Linked DNA regions of Drosophila melanogaster. The gene in region 3 interacts genetically with the main gene of each other region. Each region holds a gene or a part of one and is shown on either strand. Other genes may lie near its edges.

What was found. A genetic interaction does not mean that the proteins touch.
Region 1: of bcd (region 3) and bin3, changing one enhances a phenotype caused by changing the other (phenotypic enhancement), as found in Drosophila melanogaster (one study listed by BioGRID).
Region 2: of bcd (region 3) and tsl, changing one suppresses a phenotype caused by changing the other (phenotypic suppression), as found in Drosophila melanogaster (one study listed by BioGRID).

Annotation. Positions count from the first base shown.
Region 1 is NT_033778.4:6,212,937-6,218,035, reverse strand, and holds the start of bin3 (bicoid-interacting protein 3), read right to left. Parts: upstream 3,469-5,099; 5' UTR 3,285-3,468; intron 1,840-3,284; exon of another isoform or gene 1,433-1,839; intron 1,351-1,432; exon of another isoform or gene 1,299-1,350; intron 1,212-1,298; exon of another isoform or gene 1,142-1,211; intron 1-1,141. Other genes in the region: Ttc7 (tetratricopeptide repeat domain 7), read left to right, coding at 4,095-4,224, 4,285-4,567, 4,709-4,820, 4,878-5,099.
Region 2 is NT_033777.3:21,777,146-21,784,310, forward strand, and holds tsl (torso-like), read right to left. Parts: upstream 5,392-7,165; 5' UTR 5,339-5,391; exon of another isoform or gene 4,843-5,338; intron 4,761-4,842; exon of another isoform or gene 4,573-4,760; intron 2,639-4,572; 5' UTR 2,617-2,638; coding exon 2,407-2,616; intron 2,059-2,406; coding exon 1,207-2,058; 3' UTR 969-1,206; downstream 1-968. Other genes in the region: CG6800 (uncharacterized protein), read left to right, coding at 1-68; Polr1H (RNA polymerase I subunit H), read right to left, coding at 144-168, 233-452, 504-621.
Region 3 is NT_033777.3:6,754,960-6,761,584, forward strand, and holds bcd (bicoid), read right to left. Parts: upstream 4,508-6,625; 5' UTR 4,313-4,507; coding exon 4,148-4,312; intron 3,611-4,147; exon of another isoform or gene 3,589-3,610; coding exon 3,513-3,588; intron 3,473-3,512; coding exon 2,514-3,472; intron 2,002-2,513; coding exon 1,717-2,001; 3' UTR 883-1,716; downstream 1-882. UniProt on the Drosophila melanogaster protein: Segment polarity transcription factor that provides positional cues for the development of head and thoracic segments.

The DNA.
Region 1 (5,099 bases), on a different chromosome or scaffold from region 3:
TACATTGATTGGGTGTTTGATTTGACGTAAATTACTTTATCAAAGTAATGAATGTTAGGGAGTTATGCAAATAGGATGCTCAGGACTTTCTGACGTTATTAACACTGGCACGTCTTAAAACCTGGGGATATTCAGGGTATATGGTGTAAGTGTAAGAGTGACATATATTTTGTAAGGAATTTTTAAGAAAATATAAACCAAAAATATAAACCAAATACAAACCATAGTTTGTAATAGTTAGTTTTAGTTTGCTGGCATAGTGTCTGTCCGTTCGTATGAACGTCGAGGTCACAGGAATTAGAAGAGCTAAAAATTTGAGATTAGATTCCGGAGACCATGACGCAGCGTAAATTTATTAACTGCCTACAACCCGCCAAAAACTGTCACGCCAACATTTTTTGAAAATGTTTTGATAATTATTATTTATCGTTTGCACTTCCACTAGCTGAGTAACAGGTATCTGATGGTATATGGGCTCGACTACAGCGTTCTCTTTTGTTTCTTTTAATTTCGCGTCAAGATTTTTAACTTTCTTTTCACACTTTACGAAATAAAATGCTTAAGGTGTTTTACTAAATTACAATACTGCAAAACGCAGTCAATTTGCGGTATATAAGTGAGTAACTTAATCAGATCCGCAACACATTAATAAATTTTACATGGTATTAACTGCAAGGGACTTAAATTTCCGACGGTACAAACTGGAATGTATGTAATACTAATGTTACGCGACCAGAATAAGGTACCTCATACTTAAAGTAAAGATAATATATTTCTTATGCCATTTAATAAACACTTTTATTTAATCAAAATTTCTTAATTTTTACTTATTTCCAAATCGCCATGTTTAAGTTTTCTGTTGAATTTCCCTAATACCTGCATAGACTGCCAACATCTAGTGTTGGTGTTGCGACTATAATATTTTTAATTTGTTGCTTTTTATTGTTAACAACAGCAACAGGTTCGTTGACCAGTCAACGAGCGCTCAGAGAGCAAAACAAATAGAGATATGTAGATACAAACAAGGTTCAAAGCAATCAGTTACCCTCTACTCAGAGTGTTGGAGCGATTTTTCGAAAAGGGTTCGTTTTTTTTTAGAAAGTGTCCAGAAATAGCATTTCGTTTGGTAAAATGTAAATATTTTACAATGTAAGCCAACCAAAATGAGCACAAAAATTAGATTACAATAAATACATCATGCACATAGAAAGGTAACAATTATTTTTGTTGTCAAATAATATATTGCACAGTTTGGGGAGCCTACTAAGAAGATAATATAACATATTTACATATATCAGATGGGCCTTACAAAGTTTAGAGATGTCCTGGGACTCCTAAGATGTCATCAAGGTACCCATCCAAATATTTTAAAAATACTGGATTTTTACCTTTTTCTGGTTATTTTCTTTCTTACTTTTCTTCATAATTACAGATTTTTTCACATCAAGGTCATCGCGATGTGGGTAGTTCATTAACGAACGCCTACAAAACGAAGCTTCACTAATGAGAGTTCGCCGGCTCGTTGACAGATGCATTGGCGCGGATTAAGAATGTGCAGAAGCAAACAAAGGATTGCGGGACCTAAACCAACAACAGCCGGGACAAAAACTGCAGCGGCAATGCAGCAGGAACAATGAAACAAACGGTCTTTTGGCTATTTCACCCATCTTATATTCTAACTTGTCCTACGCACATTTTATATAGCTCCCTAAAAACTGAGAGAAAATGATATAGCCTAAATAAGGAAAATTCAAAATACTTAAAACCAATAAACTTGTTACTAGATAAGTTCCTTCATAATGGCTATAGATAATAGTAATTAACTATTTTGGAAGTAGCAACCTGATTTCTTTCAGAGGATAAGAAAAAAATTACTTTTAAAAAGGTAGTTCCTTTTAAAATTTTATACATTTTCTATAAACTGTAGTGAAAGTTTTTATAAGTGTATCAAGTTAAGAATGCAAACGGGAACCATTCACCCACTACTTTAAAATTGTTAAGCCGCCTTTTTTCAACTTTTCAGTTTTGCGCTTACTTTCCTTTCCATAAACGGGAAACTCATAGAACAAGACACTGTAACCATAATCCACATGCGTGTAATACCTTTAATGTCACTTTTAGCTAATATTCGGAGTGACATGAAAATGAGAAAATAATTTTAATTTTGAATTTTATTTGGGAAAAAATAGCTTCGTGGCCGAATCTTCCTTGTATCTGTTACTTTTCAACAAATCTATATAAACATTTATGTATATATATTTAAACATCTTCTGGCTTGTTTAAATTTGACTACGGTTTCCATGATACTCAAATAAATGAGTGTCTTGATAGAAAAAATGAAAAAAATATTTAGTTCGTAATTACACTTTATAGTGTTTTGTAGGAAAGTGTTAACTTTGTGACAAAGCGCACCAGGGGAGCGTTCGAAGTGGACTCCTATTTTTACTTTTTCTATTAAAATCTATTTTTAATTTAATACTTATAGCAGCTCCATAAGACAGTTTGATTTGTTTTTTGGCAGTTCGGGTAAAAGAGCCACTGTGCATCGAACTGCTAACCCACATATCCGACCCGTTCGCCCCACCATTATTATCCCTGGAACCAACTGCCCACCCCCACCACCGCTTTTGACGAATTCCTTCGGTTGGGGTGAATAATATGCTCTCCGAAGCCTAAAAGATTGGCAAGAAATTTGAAGAATGAGAGGAGCCAAAAGCCTGGAATCTGACATGGATGTTTTGTGTTGATTTGTATATATGTTTTACCTAAGATTTTGTATATGGAAATGCAAATGGAAATATTGCACATTCGAAAAGCAACAAAAACTCAAAAAGGCCGGGCAAAAAAATAAAAGACTGGCAATTAACTTTGACTTCTGAGGGGCACGCGATAAAAGTTATCGATGACTGCGAGAACGGTTGGCATGAGGGGTCACTCAGGAAAAACAAATTTGATTGCTTAAATGGCTCCTAAAATTGAAAGCAAAAGTGGAAGTCAACTCGATAAGAGAGGGTATACGGGGACCACTCTTCTGGTCCATATCCTATTAGAAGGTTGAAATGCACTTAACGTTTGTTTATGCACACACACACAATTAAGAAACTACTCTTGTCCAAATACTCTGCCTGGACTACTTCCATTTCTTCATAGCTTTCCAACTGATTGCTAACTTGTGTGTGCTCGCGAAAAACAGAAACCCTAGGAACAGCTGAGTGTGCACACAAATCCACACGTGCTGCGCCTTTAGACAAAACAAAAATGAATCTTAAGGACAAAACACTTACCGCCCAGAAAGCCCCACGATTGCTCAGTGGCGACTTGAACTTTGTTTTCACTTTTCGTTTCGTTGTTGCCGTTAAATTCGCCACACTCTTGATAAAAAAAAAAAAAAACCGTAAAATATGATTCCGTTCGCGGAGCTCTAATAAGTGCGTCAGTCTCCTGCAAGAAAACACTTACAACTAACATATTTTTATATATATTCTCGGTTAACAGAGCCCACCAGTGTTGCCAATTTTAAAAATGAAAAAATTAGTAATCGAAAAACAATGAAGTTTATAATAGTATGTACATATGCATATGCATAACTGTTGTAAGAAAACAACATAAAATGAAGACATCTTGCTAATATGAGGGATAATGTGATAATGTTCTATTTGGCGAGCAGAGGTTTCATATTTTTAAGAAAGAGCTACCACACTGGGTCTTATCGATTCAATTAACAATATGAACAGCTTCTGATGGATTGCACACGCTTGTGGAAAAAAAAAGATGGAACAGCTGACCGAGAGTTAGCATGTTAGCAGCTAACAGGGGACGGACCACAGATGTCTTAACAGCACTGGTACACAAATCGCTTTACAGCACGCTGTTAGCGGGACTACCGATAATAGTTGCTGTCGATAACAGATGCTGCCATATGTGAGAAAGAAGAAGAGCGAAGAAAACAGATAACTCCAATGTTTGCAAAACAATTTGATTAGTCTTGAAGGAATCCGCTTTAGGCTCTTAGGAACCCGCTTTATAGCGAGCACAGGCACGCACTGGCACACACAGCAAGCAAAGAGTGACAACATTATCCGTGAAGTGGACATATGGCCAACAAGAACATGCGTAACACCACAACCAAAGTGGAGGCCCTGATTGAGAGCTGTCGCAGCGAGGGCAAGTGGCACCGGGTCATCGAGCTAACGGATGAACTGAAGACCGGGTCCCCGCACAATGGTAAGAAGATTTCCGCTGATGACGGTACTCCTGGAATGACTGCCTTCTTTCGTGGAACAGAGTGCCTGGCCAACTTTCTGGTGGGGGAAGCTCGTCTGGAGAGTTACCTGGAGGAAAACGCTCTCGCGTCAGACTCAAATTTTGGTCGCGCCAAGTCTGGATTGGCGGAGGCCCGGCGTTTCCTTCACTTGGCTTTGGGTGAGAGTGGCCAGAAGGCGGGCATCGCCCTGGACGCCTATTTGCTGCTGGCCAAGCTGTGCTTTGCCTGCGGCGAGTATGAGCAGAGTCTAGACAATTTCGTCAAGGCAGAACTCAACACGCTTGCCGAGAAGGAGCTGACCCTGTAAGTTGGGAAAAGGTTTTCTAATCAAAATGTTCTCATCTACTACGTGGGGACTTGCAAATTAAGATGAATGTACACATCAACTCTTAATTAATAGCAAATTTGCAAAACTTATCACTTCTGCTTACATATATATAAAAGTCGCAGCCTGAAGATCCTTGCGGAATCGTATGCCATCAAGGGATTGTGTCTGGAGCAGCAGACTACGAAGCCGTCATCTAAGTTTAAGAAGGCCGAAAAGGACACGGAAATGGTAAAGTCCTCGATTTCAGTTTTAAAACGTAACTGATTTAATAATTTCTTACTCCAGATTAGCTGTTTTGAGCGCGCATCTGATCTGGGGCTGCTCTATCTGCAGGAATACGATCTCGTTAGTGGAAGCAGTGGCTCGTCCAACAACTCGACAGCTGGTTCTACGTTGAATGTAAACGCCTCTACTGTGCAGCCGTCGAGCAGCAGTTTTGCAATCAGCAGTACAATACCGGCGAGTGGTCCAAGTGGACTGGAAATGAACCGCAGGATGGGCGCCATC
Region 2 (7,165 bases), about 15 Mb from region 3:
ACCGACTCAAGGCCAGCGAGGTGGGTTCTGCTTCAAGTTTGACACCGGTTAGGTATTATAATTGGTAAATTCTATATTTCTCAGGCCGTCGAGCATGATTATTTTCATTAATCTAGGACTATTTACACGGACATTGCTAGCAACTAAGAGTTTTCGGATTCTTTGAATCTGCAAGGTAGAATGTGTGTGATTAGTTGTGGAAGTGAAGGAATATGTTTATCAGGACACCTACTTGCACTTAAGGCAGGTAAAGAACACCGTCTGGCCTTCGTCCGCCGATCGAAGCTGCAGGGTGGCATAGGACATCTTGTCGTGGTTGCACTTGGGACACTTCCTCTCCACAACGGGGCCATCCGCGTCCGATTCCGACTCCCTTTTCGTCCTGTTGAACACCTTGCTGGGATCGTAGGTGTTGAAGTGTATGGTAAACTCGGACTTCTCGCCGCTGTAAACTATTTTTAAGTGTTAAATAAATTAAACAAAGTTGTAATTTCTGGATTTACCATCTGGCTGAAACTCCTTCTTGCAGTTGTAGCAAATCACATTGCCCTTGACTTGAAGCTCGGGCAGAATGGAGCCGCAGGAGGGGCAAAAGCCCGGACAATTGGAAAAAATATCCATGCCAGTATATATCACCCAAAATCAAAATCAAAATACAAAAACCGCACGTGCTATTTCGGATTTCAGTATGAGCGTAACTGAACCGTTTGAAATATACCACACGGTATTAAAAATATACTTGATTCATATACTAAATACGTAAGGGTGGAAAACTAGAATAAGTCTGGTTGAAAGCCTTGATGAAACGGGTAGAGCCGTTTACCCGTTTCGATTACCGGTTCTTAATCAAAATCAATTATTCAAAATAAACTTTCAAAATAGTATTTGATATTCATAGCCAATATTACGTAATGAAAACAGTTAGATTTTAATAGCCAATATCAAGTTATGAAAACAGTAAGATTTTTACTTTTATCTTTACTTTGTATTAAAGTTTACAAAACTATTACATCAATAAGGCGATCTTACGGTCTAGTTAGCTGAAATGCAAGTCGGATGTGTACTGTGTTCCAATTAAACTACCTAAAACTATCACAGGCAGAACATTAACTACGCACTAGAGGTTCCTAACTACAACTAAGCATCTAGGAACTATTGATCCTTGGCTGCCACATATCGCACAGTATATATATATTTAAAATGCAGCTATCGGGTGGGATGACTCTGCGGCATGTTAAGCTCCCAGAGCTTCACATTGTTGTCGAGAACCTCGTGGTACCAGCTCTCCTTTTCCGGCTCCTCCCGGAAGATGGGCTTCAGCGACTTGAGGTCCAACTGCAGTATGGCATCGTTGCCGAGCAGCGAGTCCAGGGATCGCAGTAGAGTACTATTACCGTGCAGTTTCAGCAGGGTCACATACTTGACCACATAGTACTCGTACTGCAGCTTCCTTCTCGCCCATCTTTCCACTGTAGCATTGGCACTAGCCGATCGAATCTGGCCCAGATGGGCGGCAAACCAGGGCGCAAAGTAGTTGTAAAGATCCAACTTGGACAGTCCGTTCAGACCTTTACTCTTGATTCGCTCCTTGATCATGCTGTAGTTCTTCCTGCTGTACACAAACACCTGATACAGCGAATTGCCGGTGGTGTATGAGTTTACGTAGTGGGTGCCCACATCTTCCATAAATCGCACTGCGGAAGTTATATTTCCGATTTGCAGTTGATCCATTCTCGATCGCACATCCGGCTCCAAGGGTTGGTGCACCGGAATCTCAGCGTTAAGACGCCCCGTTTCCCTGAAGCGCACCACCCTCACCAAAACATACGAGTAATCGCCTTGGATGAAAGATGTATTGATGCCCAGCTTCTTGGCCGCATTATCCGGAAACCATCCGCCAGTAAATGCCTCCCACGGTTTGTCCATTCGCTCAATGGAAAAGTCACGGAAGTAGGCCTGGAACAGTTGCCTCCGATTCTCGCAGAACTCCATGTGAAAGTCTCCATGAAAGATTCCGGGCGTGGTGTCTTCATGACTCTCCGCCAGGCCACTCAGATTCTGAAAGAAAAAAATCATTAATTATCTAATTGTCTAGTCAGCTCAATTATCAGGTAATAAATATCAAGTGACATACTTGAATAATCGTATATAATGATCGTTTTCCTAAATCTGATCAAACAAATATAATAAGCGCTCATTCTAACGACAAACGTGGCGGAAGTGAACAATATAATTACAACTAAAAATAGTTTTAAGTGATAACAACTTTAAACCCTATTTTAAAATTTTGATTATACTCCAAATAATTATGGTGATTGTGGTTAAAGGTTAATACAAACAATTCCGAGTTCATCAACGCCATTTAATTTATTAAATGTAAGCTTAACTCTGCCTTAAGTCCCTTACCCTATAGATGTTTTTGGTGGGCTCCTTAAACACCCAGCGATCCGGCTCCGAGTTGTCATTGAGCGGTATCACACGCATGGAGATTCCCAGGTAGCCATAGCGCAGGAATATATTGATGGCCTTGCCGATCCGGAGCTGGGACTCGCGACGACCTCCATCCGCCAGGAGCGCCAGGGTCAGCAGCCAGAAAAGGCCAGGCCACGACCGCATCGCTCAGCATTCAAGGTTAGATCTATAGAGGATTATAATAGAAATATTATATTGCAAATTTAAAGCGATTACACTTGAATTAGGCAAACGTTTCCATATTCCATATCCATATAATCCCTTGCTATAAAATATTATTGATTGAAACAAACGCAACCTATTCCGATCTCTTATAAAATTCGCAATTTAACAATAATGAGGCATATCTATCCCACAATAATTTATTCAAGTGACTAGATAACTCTTGATTGCAATGTGCATATTGATGACAAGCAAGTACAAACAGCGCTATACCATCCGAACTCATTACTCACTTAGACTAAAACCGGAAAGTTTTACAGCAAGCTACTTCGGTGGTTTGTTTATATTTTATAGCCAGTGCAGTAGTTGCGATACAGTGGGGTTAACTAAACAGCAATAATTGCAGGGCCGCCGTGTTTGTTTTCCACTCCATAAACGGGCGATAATATAAGCGCGCTCTAATTGGCCATGAACCTTCAGTGGCGCTGAACTTGAACCGACCAAGTCGACTTGGGTAGAGGCCACCAGCTGGTGGTGATGATGAGCTGGAGCTCTGCGTAGCTCCACTCTGATCACCTTAAGTGGATGCAATTAGCCGCAGGCTCTGTGGCCGTAAAAGCAGCTACAAAGTATAGCCATCAAAATTGGTTCGGCTGTCGCTTTGACTTGCAAATTATTTCCTAAAAACATTTTGCATGCCTCGTAACCGTTTTCCTATAGTTGGCCCACTACACTTCAGAGGACCGGTTATGCCGTTTTTGTTTTTTTTTTTTTTTTTTTCTGTCCAAGCATTATGGCCGGCAAGGAAGCCAAACAAATTGGCCCAAGCCAGACATATACACACATTCTAACAGCTTGGCGAGGCAGCTTTTAATTCGAGCCGTTATCACAGAACGAGCGACGTGTTTGATGGGCCAAAAACACAGAGGTTAGCCGGGTGTTAGCCACGTTTGTGAGTCACACCTGTCGACCCGACGCACTGAAGCGCAGCACCAGACAAAAAAAAAACACAAACGCAGCCATGATGAGACTCAAATGTTAACCATTTACGTGAACCATAAAATGTAGGCGTCGCTAAACTTGTCCAGCAGCAAAAACTAAACAAAAAACAGCAGGAAGAGTGACTGAATGAAACTAGCCGTGAATGGAACAAAGAAAAAGAGACATTTGACTACTGCATCTTGTCTATACTTGCCTATAGTACATATATTACTGCCCATGGGCGCGATTCCAGGAAATATTTGTTTGCACATTTTATAAACACATGAATATTTGCTAAATGCTGCAATCAGCTGTCTTGACCTTACAGATGAACCTCACAGATTGCAATCACTCTACGGATTTAAACATTCTGACTCGGCATAGAATACGATTTCGAAGGCTTCCAACTTCTGGCAAACAACTAATGCCCAAATGAGCTTAGTTCTCCATCGCGAGACCCAGAAAATCAAACTGTCGCACAATTGCCAAACTTGAGGTTCAAAATTTGAGATCCGCTTGAAAGGCATGTGTTATGTGACTTAATGATAGTTAGTTTTGTCGGTGGGGGTATTGACAATAGCGGACGCATAACCTTGTGCAAAAGACCCCAAAAAAAAAAAGAAGCCGCGAACCGGAGTTCGAGATGAAGAAGACGAATTAAATCAAAAATTCAATGCGCGCACTCGGACTCCAAAGCAAAGGCAACTAAAAATCAACTCGTTCAACTGTGACTCCCTGTGCACTGGGAGAAAAGAGTGTGGCTATCTAGGACTAGAACTGAATAAGAGAAGAATCAGTCAGCTCTTAACTCCTCTTTTGAGCTATTTGGAATCTTATTCCAATTGTTTATGCTTTTATCAGATTTAAATCGTTATTAGATTTGTTATTTGGCCTATATTTATCCAATAAGATTTTATAATGTGTATTTTTCTTGGACATCCTAAAAAACCTGCATACATTTCTCTCAGTGCTTCCCACCGTGGTTGTCCGCGGCCCAGTCAATTGGAGATTCTTTATGCGCATTTCATGAGCTCTTTTGTGGTAGTAGTCTGGAGTAAACCCCGGGCGAAGGGCACAGACGTGGGGCATAAGGTCTGCAGTTTATATCGCGCTTAATTTTATGCTTGGTCCGTGTGCGTTGTTTCCTTGAGCGGTGTTAAACAAAAGTTGTCTTGACTGCTGCTGAGGTGCTGCTGCTTTTGCCACTTTTGTGGTAGTATTATTTACCTGCACGAGAACTCGAACGCGAATCGAAATTGACGTAACCATCGGCCAGAAGCGGCTTGTTTTATTTTCGGCAGAAGCTTGAAGCTCCGGCTAATTCTATATGCCAGTCGACACAAATCCGCAGGTCTAGAGTTGTGGCTCGCCACTGGTTAGCCTTATCGCTCTGATACCGGGGGCCATTGCACAAGGCTGGTTGGCTGGCTTTATGGCTGGCATTAGCATCGTTAAGACTCCGATTTTTAACGCTTTGTGGGTCAGAGGTCGGCGGCTTGGTTGGCGCCCTCAAGTGATAAGACGGATCTATGAATAGATCGCTGTGGTTCGAATTACATGCGTTTGCGCAGATTTCAACAACCAACAACGTACACACACACACACACAGGCAGTCGTCAAGTACCCTGAACGGCAAACACTAAAACAGACTTAAAACACACTAAAACGAGCGACGACGTGCCTTCAATTGCAATTATAAGCCGGAATTTGCGGCAGCACTTACACTCAAAACGCGAGCAGCACACCTTCAAGCGCGAAGACTCAAAACCTAACTGAAACTGGCTACCAAAAACTCGATCGCCGGAGAGAACAAGCCGATCCGTTCAAGCAGCTACAGCAGCAGCAACAATATATGTTGCGCTACGACAGCAACATGTTGCTGCTGTGCGTCGTGTCGTCTGATCCAACCGAGCAACTGGCAGCAGTTGCAGTTCAATGACTGGCAGCCAGCAGAAGTTCTACTCCTCCAACGGTAGTGGCTATGGCTAATGCTAATGGCCTGGCACAAATATCTATTGTTGACATCTGCCGTTTGGGGGGACAGCTTTTCCGCTTATTAATATTTCCGAGCACGTCGTTCAACTTCCAGTTTTCTTCAATGGCGCGGGGAGTCGGAGGGCTGCCGAATCGAGGCAGATTGAAATGATTGCAGTTTACCCGGGCCAGACTTGCGCAAGATTCCCATAGAACTGGGCGGCCAGTAATCAAAAACTTTTGGTACTACTTGTGCAAAAAAAAAACTAATAATGAGACCAAAAGTAAGCCGAAAAATAAAAACGAAAACGAAAGTATCAAATTCGCATTACCTTGAAAACATGCTAACAAATTTGGGTCAACTCAAAGTGTTGGGCGACAACGTTTGAAGTTCGAGTGTAATGTTTCAATTAGAAGCTCAAGATACAAATGTATCTGTATCTGTATCTGTTGCTCAAAGAGCCATGGCTGCAGGGCATCCGCTTTGTCGCATTTGCCTTGACTTCCAATGGCCATTGGGAATTTCTGCAAAATTCGCTGCTGGCTTCTAAGAAATGAAAAGGTTCTGATTTGAAGTCTTTTTTTGCTGCTGATATGGGGGGGGGTCTTTCTTTTGGAAGAGGCGTTGGGGGAAGGGCTTCCGAAAAGTATTGCAAAAGCTGGTTGAAATTGTATCTCTCGTATATTTTTCTCTTTTCATATATAGAAGTTCATTTTATTACTTTTGTTTCGGTTTCTGTGTGGGTTTTGCTTTGTCTTTGCAGCATGCATGATTCAAAACTTATGTATTTAAAATTCGGTATTTCAGTGTTTACTCGTTTTTATTTAATTCTCATTCCAGTTTCTTCGGTTCTTTTTCATTTAATTTATTATTATTAATCCCATGTTTAAACTATGTATATATAATGACATTTTTATCATTTATTTTAAATGATATTTACTAACACCGCGGCCTTCTGCGCCCCAAACGATCGATCGATCTGCCGATCCATTCATTTCACTTCATTTATTATTATAATAACAATTCACTCAATTAGCTCAAATCGCGTCAATCTACACATATTGACATTGGAGATCATAAGCATTTTCAACTCATCTTTACCATCGTTACCCTCGGTATCATATCATCATCATAATGATCATTGACTTATGAAATTAGAGAAAAATTCTAATTCATTTGGTTTACGCGACCGTGTTCATCTCACTTCTGCGTCTTCCTTTTCTTTTTTTTTTATGTAATATCAACAATAAATTTTTACTTAATCTTAGTGTGAAATTATTCTTAGAGTACAGCTACAATCTGCTCGCATCGGCTAAGAAAAAAGGATCAAGTAAAAGTACGAAACGAATCATTCGAAATCCTAGCTCAATCTCAGGATACTCTCTGTCGGTATCGTTTTCTTTTTTTACCCCCCATTTCCAATTCATTTCAATCGTTCCTAATCATTGTAATACCGTAAAATATAAGATTTTGATTTGAGCATTCTTTTCCTAATCATTTCATCGATTTTTGGTGTTTTCTGGCACACTTAGCCTGGTTGGGGGAGCTTCAAAATGTACATACATCTATCTCAAG
Region 3 (6,625 bases):
TTACTTAGGTTATATATGAAAATTAACATTTTCGAAATAATATTTTTAGAATTGTCGAAAAGATTCATTTAAAAACATAATTAAAACATGATCTTTTGAAAAGAAGTGCTAAAACTCTTAATTAACTTGTTTAAGTCTTAAGTTAATATCGCAACCATGTTAATGGGTCACTGTGCACAATTGTGAAAAGTATTTACAATAAAAACCTGAACCAAATTAAAAAGCTTTACAATATCAATAAAAAACTAATTTATGAATACTTTGCGATATCTCGCGATATTTGAAAGATGCATAGATGCTATAAATTATCTTCATAAATGGCGGATTAAAAAGTAGTTTATTAATTATAGTAGTTAAACTAGGTGTGATGAAGGGCACAGGAAAACAAGTCTTGTGATAAGTAAGAATGGATTCAGAGCTTGGTTTTCCCAGGACATCCATAATCCACCTACTAAAACGCGCCCAAGATCAATAAAAACTCTATAACTGGGAGAAACCCAATCAATATTCGTTCATATAGGCCCCGTTATTGGACTTCTGGATTTCCCAAAACTTATATCAAAGAAAATAGGGGCAACAAGTTGCCTGGCGGCGCCCCGCGAGTGCTGCCTGTACAGTGTCTACCTAAATAGTGCGACCGCGCGAGGATCAGGCGATAAGAGTATGGGTTTCAGGTAGGTGAATAAACACAGGCAGCTGGTGCAAATGTTTTATGATCCGCGGGTGTTCGCGGAAAAATCGCGAATCATATTTTATGGCAGGCATGTGTGAGTATGTGCAATAAAGTGCATTTTTAAATTCATAAGATTTTCGGGAAAACCAGATACTGTTTTCGTTCATTCTAGAAAGGGACGGAAATATGGGCTAAGTATGTAGTTATGTGTAGTTAGTCACAATTTACCCGAGTAGAGTAGTTCTTATATATTTTCGTAATTAAAAATACAAAGCTTAAAGAGACAACATCAAAGGTGCAGCATTTTAAAATTAAACTTGAGGCCTAACAGATTGCAATGCTCTTCTTAGTGATGTAAATAGAATGTGAGCTATGATAGTTATTCCGTTTGGCAGCAAAAAATCTCCGAATCTGAAACAAATGGTCTGCATTGATTGAAAATACAATTTGCTGACTATTCTTGGTCAAAGAATGCGCAAATGTTTGATTATGTCAGACACTTTGGCATAGCATAGAAATTGAAAATATCATATCAAATATTATTGTTTAAATGTTCGATCTTTAAGGGTAATCATTGTATGAGATTACGCCCAAGAGAAACATTTTTCATTTTGATTAGTACAGTTTTTAGCTATGTCAAATTGTAACAGAGAAGATTTTCTTGCTGGCTCGGAATATAATTTCCGAAATGTGGGACGATAACTTTCCATGGAATACGCTTAAGCCCAAATGGCCTCAAATGTAACTGGTTGCATATTCCCGGGCTTTAGTGGAGCAGCCACCCAGATACATCTAAGGCGAATAGCGTATTGCAGGGAAAGTATAGAGTTAACTGGAGTATCACTAAGATATGCACTGGAATCCGTGCGGCCTGCTGACTAGGCTAGTACATAAAACTTCCCTGGGAACCATTTACACGGATCTTAGGACTAGACCTAACTTTCTACGCGTAGATATCTACAATCACTTGGTATTTGTACAATCAGGAACAACAGTGGTTAACCTAAAGCTAATGAAACTCTCTAACACGCCTCTCATCCAGGCTAATTGAAGCAGTAGGCAAACTGCGAGTTGCCCGCGGCGTTCCGATGGGGATTATACGCTTGCATTATCGTATCCATCGTGCATTGATATTGGTTCGATTCGCCCATGGCCACGCCCCCCATTCCGAGGGGCGGCTGAGGGCCTTGTGGGGGCGAAGGCTTGCCAAATTTGGCAAATGCCGCTCCACGATTTCCGGTTCCTGCTAAGGCTCTTATTCCGGTGCTCATGTCGTCGCTACTGCCATCGTCGCAGCTCTTGTCCAGACCCTTCAAAGGCTCCAAGATCTAGGGAGAGAGCGAACGCATTTAGAACATAAATAAATTCGATTGAAATTGCTAAATTATTGTTACAATTTATAGCTAAAAATGTTCATCAGCATATGAGTCTGTTTTCACTTTTAAAATGCATAGATCTTATTTTTCTGGTCAAAGAAATGCTATTTTAACTTGCAGTGTATTAAGAGTGATTACATGAATAAAAAAGTAAAAAACCCTGAAAACTAAGGGCTTTCAAACGGTTGAAATCTTAACCTTTGATACAAATTCTATATTAAAATACATCTTTAACACTTGTACTTCCCTTTCAGAAATGCCATGTCTAATTTAGAAAACAAAAACTTAATAAGTTAAATGTTAAATATTGGAGAACTCCCAAATCTCATCGATCGGAAATAGAAGTACTTTCAGAATAACATCTCAAACCAGACAGTTTGAAAGTTACAAAGCTTAAAGCTTCAATTTATAAACGCCACACTCAGAATCAAGAGATCAAAAAAGGTTGTGGACTCATGCCTGACCTGTAGCGTCGTCTTCTTGCTCGTTCCGTCGTCCATGTCGTCGGCCGCCTCCGTCTCGCCAACGGCGATGGCGCAAGGTCCGCCGATGCCGATGCCACACAGACTCGGACTTTCGTCATTCTTGGGTGTTAATGGCTCGTAGACCTCGGAGCCCGGCGAGGCAGCGCCTCGGGCCACAGCGGATGCCGATGCAGTGGCGCCAGACATTCCCGATCGCATGTAGTACGAGCTGTTGAAGTTGTAGTCGGCCTCCGGTTCGTCCTTGACCAGGACGCGACAGGCGCTGGCTTGCTTTTGCTGGAAGTCAAAGTGATGGTATTGCTGCTGCTGAGCCTGCTGTTGCTGCTGCTGCATCTGGTGCGGCACGTGGTTGCCCTGGTGGTGCAGTTGCTGCTGGTGATTATGGACCTGCTGCTGCTGGAAGAACTGGCCGCCATTGACATTGGTCGACCCAGGTCCTGGCCCCCCTCCGGAAGGATACTGCATGTGCATGTGACGATTGGCCTGGGCGTGATTGTGGCCTCCATTGTAGTTGTAGTAGGCGTTGAATGACTCGCTGTAGTGCTCCGTCATGTGTGCAGTGGGCGTTGAGGGCGTGGGTGACGGAGTCAAAGCGTTGGGCGTGGCTCCTCCACCCAAGCTAAGAGTCTGCAAGCTGGGGGGATCGCCATCGCTCTGTTTCATACCCGGCGAGAGAGGCATCCCCTCGTAGGACTGGTCCTTGTGCTGATCCGATTGGATCTTGTGACGACGCCGACGGTTCTTAAACCATATCTTCACCTGGGCTGTGCCCAGGGCTAGTTTCGCTGACAGATCCGCAAGTCGGGGGGCTGTGAGGTATCGTCCCTGCAGAAAGTGCTGCTCCAGCTCTGCTATTTGAGAGCTGGTAAAAGTGGTGCGGGTGCGACGTGGTCGCCGCATCACCAGAGAGTCGGGCAGCTCCTCTGAGGGAAAGACATCTGATAAGACGATGGCTGACTTTGTTGGCTTTGAGCTCACCTGGCTTGGGCATCTGGTTGGGCAGATACGGACGTATGTAGTTGTAGTTTATCGCTCCCGTTCGCTCATCGAAAAGCTTCAAAGAATCAAGGGGTACACTGTCTTTATATAAAAACGTGAAAGGACGATTCGCTTCGGGGACCGAATCTTGCAATATTACTTTCACTAATCATCATGCAGGACAACAATGCTTGTTTTAGAAAATATGTTGTATGAAGTGTATAAAGTCAATAATGTATACCCAGTGGCCATAGATGTGGCTTTTGAAAAATAGACATTACTGATTGTCGGTGTGAGTGCAACAGGTTTAACATTCGTCCATTTCAATGAAACACCTTTTAGAACATTTCGGCAAATCACTAATAACATGATGCCCCACAATTCATATACAATTATATACTATACTAACTGTAACGATTAATAATATCAATTGGTTTTTAGATTCTGCTACGATACTTTAAAAGTCACAAACAAGATAATAGAAGATTTCGCCCTATGTTCTAGAAACACATTTGCTGCGGCTCAATAAATGTTTATGGTCATCAGTGATCGCACTGGTTGTTTGTTCACCATAGGGAATCTGTACTGTAGCTTTCCTGGGACAAGAGCCCTTCTCTGCTGCGATGGGAACTCACCAAATCGAAGGGATTTCGGAATTGTGGCGGCAACTGAAGCTGCGGATGTTGGTGATGTGGGTGCGGATGCGAGTGCGGATGCGGATGGGAGTGCGGATGCGGATGTGTGTGCGTGTGGGGCAGCGGATGATGGTAAAAGTTTTGATCTGGCGGCGGTTGCGCCATTTTCCCCAAACACTCCGCCGCGTTATCTTTACGAATTTCCAAGCGCCGCGCGGAAAAATGGCAAAGGAGTGTGGAAACTTTCTTGTATTTTCAGTAACCGGTTACTTTCGAGACGCTCGCGAACTTATTTCGCCCACATTTTGCGTTTTTGCGATCCACTGCTTCGCATCTGCAGAGTGCCGTTATTTAGGGATGAGCGAAGAGATGTAGAGATGGCACAATTGGCGGCCCTCCCTCGATGTTCATTCTTTTGAGTAATTTAAAAATCAATAAGCGTCTACAATACATTTTAGACAAATATTTGGACATTTTATTTTTAAATGTTTGCCTCTAATTTAAAAGTTTTTAATCGAACAGTACGGCAAAGCTGCAAACCGATTGAGTGCACAGCGTTTTCACCAGGGGGCGTGAAGAGACAGCAGTAGAGAGCCCCCTGTCGGGCTGTATTGAAAGGTTGTGCTCACTGACAAAAGGTGAATGTTCTAAAACGTCGGAGGTTTATTTATTTGTAGAGATTTGCATTTGAGAATAATAATAAAAAAAAGCTTGAATATTGTAACAAATAAGTAGAACCAATTAAACTTAAACTCTTTGCTCTGTTTGGAACTTCATAATATTAACATTTAATTAACAAACAGGCACCCCAAATTTAGGAATCAATTAGACAAGTGTCGAATGTTTAATTTGAATTTTTGTTAATATTATAATATTAATATGCTCCAGTCCAGTCCAGCCTGAATTGAACAAAATGTGCACTTTGTAGTTTATTCTGTTACATACTTCCGCTATTAATAACTACATTATTCAATCTTAGTATCGCGAGATATATAAGGACTTGGGACAAAGAATAAGGATGGTGGAGATCGAGTTTGTTTTTCCAAATGATCTCAAACGGCTACGTACGAAAGAAAATATCATATAATCGTTTTGTAAGACAGCATATAGTGCTTGCTATATGTACCTGTTAGGCAGTGCATTATAAAATGTATTAGAAGAATAAAAGGTAACCAGTTGTCGAGTTAATTAGCTGTAGCGTTCGATTCTTTTGTTAATTTTTTTTAAGTTGTTCTACTCATTTCTGATGTTAAGCTAGGATTGGCAATTATTATTTTCAGGCTCCATATTTGGAAAATTCGATATGTTTAGCGTTGAAGAATATTGTGTAAATATCTACAAGCATTAAGTTGCTCAGTGCATTGGCCCAAGCTTTAACATTTTAAAACACACCCAACGAGCCAGTTGACCTTTAAGCAAGTGTCGCAAGGCCTTAAGTGAAATATTTTTTAATGACATTTGCCAAATAATTGTCGTGTTTGCTTTTGGGATCTGGCAGGAGCTTGTTGCTGTTGGCCGGGCTTTGCTGCTTCTGCCGCTGCCAACTGGCAACAAAAGTCAATTCACAGACACTCCAGTCGACGGAGTCGGAGTGCAGCCAAAAGGCAAACAAAATACGTTCGCATAGGCAAAGCCCAAGGATACACACAAAGGTACAGTGGTTGCTCTGACTACAAATACAAATTAAACAGGGCCAGAGCTTTAATACCAATTCGATACCATTGCAACAACAGCATTTCAAATGCTACTTTTTTATATCAGATAAAGATAGGTAGAAAAGGCTATATTTACGTTAAAGGCAAGCTGATATTTTAGAAATTTATTCAAAAACAAAATTAATTACTTTGACACATAATATTGTATTTAGTCATCTGACTAGAAACTAGAAATCTCTGAATGTAACGAAGTTCTGTGCATTCTTACAAATATTACAAAAAGTATCTGCTAGATACCACTGTGCGGAACTGGGCCACAAATTCAGACGCAGTGTGTGACAAAGGACTTCTCCCTTCCCCGCTCGGCGACCCTGAATGCTGAATGCCCCCGTGTGTGCCGCTGCTGAAGCGAAACACCCAAAGAGTCACTGACAGAAACAGGATTCGGGTAATAAATTACAAAATTTGACATTTTCTGTTTTGGATCCGCTTGCGCCTGAATGCGAGCGGCAGCCCTCTCTGTCGCACGCCGTCTAGCCGTCTCTTTCGTTCGGTTTCGGTGTGTGTCCAGTTCGGTCGGGCCAAGTCGAGCGTTGCATGAAGCAGCCGGACCTGCCAGGACCTGGACCAGGACCTGAACCTGCATCCAAGAGGCATCGCCGCAATGGTCATAATGACGCTGCCGGGATGCAGCTGAGGACAAGGAGAGCCGTCAGTGGGCAGCGAGAAAGGGACGGAATAGAAGCGCCCTATGCGGTCCGTTGATAGTTAACTGGAAATTTATTATTTTACACAATTTACAATTATCTGATTCGAATGTGCA